2 linked regions of the Notamacropus eugenii genome follow. The protein of the gene in region 1 purifies or fractionates together with the protein of each later gene. This does not show direct contact. Links are inferred from orthologs where the notes say so. Each region holds a gene or a part of one and is shown in the gene's direction. Other genes may lie near its edges.

Region 1 (3,748 bases):
AACCCAGCTTTTGTGCAGGCTAGCTAAGATTTCTGCTTTAAATTATATACCTCATAAACATCATTTTCATCATCCATCATTATCCTTCTTATTATCAATACATCAGCATTACTAAGAAGGTGGCAGTGGTGTTGTCAAAAGAGAATAGATTTACAGGGAAAACACCTGGGTTCTACTTCTAGCTTGGCTACTTACCTTTTTGACATTTCATTTACACTTTCTGGGCCTCAGTTCCACATGACCCCCTCTTCCCCTCTCATCTGTAAAATGAGAAGATTAGACAAAATGACCAGAACCTGTTGGTGGTACAGTGGATAGAATGATGAACCTGGAGTCAGGAAGAGCTGAGTTCAAATGCTACCTCAGACACTTAGTACACCTAGTAGCTGGGTGACCCTGGGCAAGTCACTTAACCTCTGTTTGCTTCAGTTTCCTCAGCTGTGAACTAGAGGTAATAATTGTATCTACTTTGCTGGGTTGTTGTGAGAACCAGATGAGATACTTGTGAAAAGCACTTAGCCTGGTGCCTAGCACTGTGCACATAGAAGGTACTTTATAAATGCTGGTTTCCTTCCCTTCCTTTTCAACGTTCTTTCAAACTCTGAAACTTAGGATCATATGAATTTCTCCTTATGACTGATTGTCATCAACTTAGTGAGAAGTAAGGAAGGGTTTTGATGTAGGGTATAGTAAGATTGCTAATTCCATTGAGACACTTTTAAGGAGCTCCCGGCTGTACCAGTTTCTCTACAGCCCCTAGCCTACAGACCTGTAACCTTTCTCAGTATCCCTTGCACATATAAACCAGAAACCAGGCTTCTTGTTTTGGACATCAGAGCAGTGAGGAAGCAGAATGGTATCTCAGAGGTGATTGTTGGGCTTTTTTTCCTCATGTGGAAAACCAGAAAGTAGACAGTCTTTTTCAGAAAATAGGCAAACTTCCTACCTTTTCTCCAGGGTTATTTAGATTAAATGCAATTCAGTTCCAGTAGCAAACATTTAGATACCAACTATATGCAACGCACTATGGAAATATGCCTAGCAAAAATTATTTTTTTTACATATACCGTTAGTGAGTAGTGAATTTAAGTAGAAAATTCTCATTGGGAGCCATATTAAACATAACCAGGCTATTGAATTGATGGATTTTAGGGAGTATTTTTAGTTTGGAGACGCCACCAGGTGATGACTTTGAGTACTACATTTGCTTTAAATGTGTGCAAAGCTCAAAAAATGAAAAGTTGTGTTTCAGACTGATTGCCTCACCTCAGGAATGAAACCCAGTGTTCACCTGGGAGGCTAAAGGTTTACTTGGAAGTTCTGATAACATTTGGTTTTGGCACAGAGTGATAAGTGTGTGTCCAGGACAGATTGTTCTTTCTGGCATACTTGCTGTCTCAGTGACATAGTTTGGTTTCTTCTCCAGTCACATTGTTGCATCAGCACTGCCTGCCTTGGCACCTGGGTTATAGCCTATAAACTGTTCACACCTTCTGTCTGGAGCTTCCTTTTAACATCAGTAATGATACTTTTTAAAAGGTGGGAAGTTTTTTTGGGGGGTGGTTGTGTTTTTTTGGTGTAGTGGTGGTTTGTTGTTTTTGTTATTTTTGAGAAAGCCAACTACCAGCAAATTTATTTTCTCTTCCGAACTAGAGTCAGGATTTCACCCAGGACATAAGGAATGGGGAGGTTGTGAGAGATCTGACTGCTGCCCAGAACTGAATTCAGTCTTGTCTGGTTCTGTTTCCATAAACCTGCTAACTGCTGTTGTGTTTTTCTTTTTCTTTTTCTCTCATTGACTAGAAAGAAAATGGCTGCCTCTTCATCCTCGTCCTCAGCTGGAGGGGTCAGTGGAAGTTCTGTAACTGGATCTGGCTTTAGTGTCTCAGACCTTGCCCCACCACGGAAAGCCCTTTTCACCTACCCCAAAGGAGCTGGAGAAATGTTAGAAGGTGAACATACTCTGCTTTTTGCTGAATAATTAGATTCAAATTTATAATAAAATAGTAAAGTATCTATTAAAAGGAATGTAGATAGAAGTATACCAGCCTCAAAACAGAATAACCTCTTTTTCACGTTCCCTGTTTTGTCCCTAATGTCCAAGGAACTCTCTGTCCTCTAGTTAGCAGGTTGTATCTTTTTTTTTTTTTTAGCTTACCATACTAAAGAAAAATAAACCCCATTACCTAGTTTCTAGGAGATGAAAATAATCTTAATATAGACTTAATTATGTATATATAAACTTAATTTTAAAATAGACTAAATGTAAAATTAACATTACTAACTCCACTGCCAGGGCATGTGCTTTGAGTTTTTCCAGTGGTAGAGATGGATTTGCATTGAACCATCCTCACTCTCTCATTCAGACCTCCTTGTGACCAACAACAGACATTTGCAAAACAGCTGGCCAAGGTTAGGGATGCAGTCTGTGGCCATGGAAAAGAGCAAAGGTAACTCTACATATGGGAAAACCAACCCTGGATCTCAGCCTTTTTCGCATAATGCAGTAACCAACTGAGCTAATCCCTTGGGGGTATGGGAACCATTCTGATCACCGCTAACCTCTTGCTTATATATAGGATATTGGCCCTTTATCTCTCTATTTCTAATCTCACCAGTGCATCTGGGCCCCTTGGCAGACCCTTGGAAGTGTTAGTATGTATGAGAGGCAGGCTTTATATAGTCTGTAAAAAAGGGCTCAACTTGGAATCAGAAGACCTCAATTCCCATTCTGATTCTGCTACCTAGTGGCAGTGTGGCTATTCACTCTACCTTTCTTGTCACATTCTCTCCATATGTAAAATGGGGATAATTGTGCTTGTCCTAGCTACGTCTGTAGAGTTGGTATGAGAAAAGTACTTTGTAGACCTTAAAGCACAATGTAAGCAAATGCGTAAGGTTATTATCTGGTGCAGAGTTGTTCCCCCTCCCAAAGCAGTTCATCATCCTTTTGGCTATTACAGCCTTCAGTATTCACATTTATAAACTTATCTGGATATTTCTCTTTGCTTACACACATGAGAAAGGTGAAATCTGCCGCTTGAGGAATCTGCTTGTGGAATCAGTGCTTTTAACCTGGGGAAGCAGAGAGGTAATTTGTGAAAGAAAAATGCAGGAGGGTTAACTGTGAAGCCCATGAAGACTTCTAGACTTGGTTTGTATTATTAATATAGTGGATAACTTAGCAGTATAGTCCAGTGAACAGTCTTTACTAAGCCCCTACTCTGTGCCAGGCACTGCTAAGTTCTGAGAATATAAAGAATGGCAAAAACATGATCCCTGCTCTCAGTGACAGTCCAGTGCAGGGGAGATGACAGGCAAATGAGACATAAGCAGGGTAATTCAGAAATGATCAGCCGAGGGAAGATGCTAGAATTAGGAGGATTGTACAAAGTGAGATTTTAGCTGAAACTTCAGGAGGAGGAGGAGGCATAGATGAGGAAGAAGGAAATTCCAGGGAAAATGCCTGTACAAAGACCAGCTTATGGGGCTGGTTGTCAGAGCATGGAGAAGGAGCCAGGTCATGAAGATCTCTAAATGTCAAGCAGCAGAATTTCTATTTGTTCCGGGATTGTAATTAATAACAGTTCTGATGTGGGCTTCTGTCCTTCTAGTCTTACAGAGATCTGGAGCGAGAAGAAGAGCTGTGTACCAGGATGCACGTGTTAGCACCATTGACCCTGTAGGCAGCTTGGAGCTAGTGTTCTGTTATGTTAAGCACAGTACCCCATATGCTAGTATGAGTTAT
Region 2 (3,748 bases), on another chromosome or scaffold:
GGGGCCCCTTGAGGCACACACAGAATCCCCTATGGGTTCCCTGGGGTTTTCCCCCATGGACATGAAATCCCCCCCCCCCACCAGTGCCCACCTGCTTTATAGGGCAATCAGACAAAGAAGGCATCATGCCAACATGAAGTTCACAAGTTAACTTTAGCAACATTGTCATTCAGCACAATCGTAGTAAATATCAATTCTGTCACTCCCCTATCTCACGGTGCAGCCTCAGTATGATTCTAAGAACTACAATCTAGAATTCTTGAGACTTTTAGCAGTTACTATGTAACACTTGGAAACTGGACATTCCCATGGCCATAGACCCTGAGAAACTAAACTAAAAAAGATAACAAAATCCTCCTTACATACCGTAGTTACATGGAATTTCCAAAAGGAATATCCTATTAACTCATATACTCTGTTATTTTGGAAAAGGCACATCTTTCAGCAGATTTATAGGCACCTAACAGTTCTCAACACTTTGTGAGTTTGACATGCGATGACATTCAACGTTGAAGATGGTGAATGATGGCATAATTCACTCATTCAATAAGCATTTATTAAATATCTTCCGTATGCCAGGCATCGTGCTAAGCACCCGGGATACAGAAAGAGACAAAAGAAAGTTTCAGCCCTTAAGTAGCTTACAAACTCAGGTGGGAGACAACATGCAAACACACACACCTATATATATACGTGCATATACACACATATGTATATGTGCCCACACACACACAGAGTAAACTATGTTCAGGAGCACCTGGAAGGTACCGAAATCAAGAGGGGCTGGGGAAGCCTTCCTGGGGGATTTTAGTCGGGAGGAGTGGAGAAGACAGAGCATTCCAGGTCCAAGCACGGGGCTTTAGGAAAACCAAGCCTTCGTTTTTAGGAGAGATGGGGCGAAATTTTATAAAATATGAGGTTGCCTGCCTTATTTAGAATAGTGGTCTGCAGCCTGCCCTTTGCACAGCACATGGTCCGGGCTGTTCCAGTTTTTGAAAAAGCAGCTATTAAAGTATAAAAGCTTCCCTACAGCTTGAACCCCAGCGAGAAGGAATCCCAAGGGGCTCGCTGCGTGGCCGGAGGGTGCAAATAATCAAACAGCAGCAATGATTTCTACAACAAGCTCTTCCCCCGGAGCTCACGAACTTCAAAGAAAAAATGTTTTATTAATTATTTCACCGTAATTGGCTTCCTTTGGAAACTGACGAGATTTCACTCCTTTTATCTTAGGCGCTGCTCGTCATCGCTGCCATGACTGTAAGGACGGGTCCTCCGCACACGAGCGGTGACGTTTCCTCGGCTGTTGGACTGGAAGCTCCTCGAGGGTAAGGGGTGAAACTGACTTAAAGAGGGCTCTACACAGGCCGGGAGAGTGGCCACTTGGAGCCGCTGCGTCACCCACATCGCGCACGCGCATGGCGCTCCGGCCGGAAGTTCCAACCCCGGAAGTGCCTCTCGAGGCCGGCTCCGCTCCGGAACACGGGATCCGCGGCCGTGGTTGGCGCCACCACGGAGCGAACCTGCCCGGTAATGCGGCTGCGCGGGAGGCGAGGGGGCGGGGCCGGGAGGCGGCTGCCTCGGGAGTCTGGCGGACCCCGCGGTCCAGTTTGAAGAGGGAGGTTTGTCATTGCAGGACCGACTCCCGCGATGCCGGCCTTCAGACAGGTGGGAGAGAAGCAGCTGCCCCAGGAGATCATTTTCATGGCCTGGTCTCCCAAGAGGGACCTCATTGCCTTAGCCAACAAAGTGGGGGAGGTAAGTGAAAGACGGGGGATGCTCTCCCCCGCAACAGCGCCCCAGCCTCCCCGGGCCTCAGTTTCCCCTCCAGCTCCAGGTCTATGATGATACCCCAGAGCCGCTCTCCGGGGAAGGGACCTTTCCAGTCTCTGGGAGAAGCACAATGAACTCAAACACTTCTCCTCACAATCCACTGAAGAAGCTTCTGAAAAACATTGCAAAAATAAACATTGACATAGAGGTCAAAAGTTATCTTTCATTAGAAAGCAAGTTTACTTTAATATTTTTCTGTTTAAGGATTTTTTCATATAGAAAGCTAACACAGTCGCGTAGTAAGACGGAGAAACAATAGGTACCGAAATGGAAGCATGTGCGAGGGGTGCCAACATGGGCCTGATGATCGTGTCATTTTTGGTTTCCCATCGAAGTTGAAATATTTTCCAAAAAATTCAATAATATATAAAAAGTTGCGCATTACACTTTTACCAGTTGTCTGCCCTTTAAAATATCTATACGAAAAGACTAAGGTAGGGCCAAAAAAACCTAAAACCCTTTTACAATGCAAGACATGAGGTTAAAAGGTTGTGTTATCTGCCTTGGAGATGAGGAAATAGGTTCAGTCAGCAGGCATCTATGAAGTGCTTCAAACACTGCGCTAAGTACTGGGGATCCAGAGAAAAGTAAAAAAAAGTGAAGTCTCTGCTTTGCCTCAGACAAGTCAAGTGATTTACCCGGTGTAATGTAGCAAGTACTTGGCAACATTGTAATTCGTTCCCAGGTGCAAAATGTTCTGGTTTTTTTTTGGGGAGGATGATGCTGGAACAGGAAAGAGAGTTAGAGAAGGTTTTTCCAACTGGGCCTTAGTGACTTTTTAGGAGTTCAGTTGGTAAAGAAAGATGCAAGGGAAGAGCATTCCAGAATGAAGAGAGTGAGTGAGAAAGCAGGGGATATGTATGGAAAAAATGGAGTAAGTCATTTTGTTGGCCTGTAAAATGTCTCATTGAATTTGTGGTAAAAAAAAAAAAATGGTTGGGTTTGTTTCCCAGTTCCCACGAACACCTACTCCCTATGTAGTCTTCAGCAAGTCTTTTCACTTTTAGGTATCTGTTCAGTCTCCCATCTTCATGCCTTTGCACATGCCAGACCTGGGATACACTTTCTTATCACTTCTGCCTCTTGGAATTTCTGCTTGTTTTAAAATTCAGTTCAAGAGCTTCCTCTACATGAAGCTTTTTATTATCCTCCTAGATGCTAGTGTCACCTTGTACTCATTCCCTATGTGTTATGTTTATACTTATATGTATACATTTAGTCTTCCTCATTTAAATGTAAGCTCTTTGACAGCTGGGACTAAAGTTCCACTTTTGTTTTTATATCTTCAGTGCGTAGCTCAGTGTCTCATGCGCACAATGCTTAATAAATGCTCTTAGCTTTAAATCTTAGGAGTCTATGAATGTGTGAAGGGGAGTAGTGCGACATGAGTCTGGAAGGGGATGCTACTTGTAGTGAGAACTACATTATGGAGGATCTTGGGCTTTTTTTGACCTTTGATTTCATCTGTGTAAGGAATTTGAGAAAATTTCTTCCACCAGTACTGATGGGCAATTCTGAGTTGCTGAGGGGTTAATTAATTTCATGGTTATGCAGCTCTTATGTGTCAGAGATGATAATTGCACCTGAATCTTTTTGACTCAGTAGGGCAGCTTTGGAGAGTTTTAAATAGGGTGATGGACAGAGTGAAAGGAGGAGACAAATGCTAGAGGTATTGAAGAACACTTCAATATTTATATCATATACATGTAAGCAACTTGAGCATAGACATGTTTATTCTTTGTATTTGTACCCCTATCCCCTAGCATAGTGCCTAGTACGTAGTAATAAATACTTACTGATTTTTTAAGCAAACTGGATTTCTAGAGACATTTCAAATTCATCACATCCAAAACTCACTATCCTTTTCCCCAAACCCATCCCTCTTCCTGATGTCTTAGTTTTTGTCAAAGACATCATC

Evidence for each region.
Region 2: the proteins of ANAPC16 (region 1) and ANAPC4 purify together in Homo sapiens (co-immunoprecipitation; 10 studies listed by BioGRID and IntAct, with this or other methods). This does not show direct contact. The link is inferred for Notamacropus eugenii from reciprocal best matches to the Homo sapiens genes ANAPC16 and ANAPC4.

What each region holds. Positions count from the first base shown.
Region 1 is NC_092872.1:238,075,226-238,078,973, reverse strand, and holds the start of ANAPC16 (anaphase-promoting complex subunit 16), read left to right. Parts: upstream 1-1,449; 5' UTR 1,450-1,522; coding exon 1,523-1,539; intron 1,540-1,803; coding exon 1,804-1,952; intron 1,953-2,366; coding exon 2,367-2,450; intron 2,451-3,748. UniProt on the Homo sapiens protein: Component of the anaphase promoting complex/cyclosome (APC/C), a cell cycle-regulated E3 ubiquitin ligase that controls progression through mitosis and the G1 phase of the cell cycle.
Region 2 is NC_092877.1:78,213,359-78,217,106, forward strand, and holds the start of ANAPC4 (anaphase-promoting complex subunit 4), read left to right. Parts: upstream 1-1,156; 5' UTR 1,157-1,415; coding exon 1,416-1,527; intron 1,528-1,633; coding exon 1,634-1,755; intron 1,756-3,748. UniProt on the Homo sapiens protein: Component of the anaphase promoting complex/cyclosome (APC/C), a cell cycle-regulated E3 ubiquitin ligase that controls progression through mitosis and the G1 phase of the cell cycle.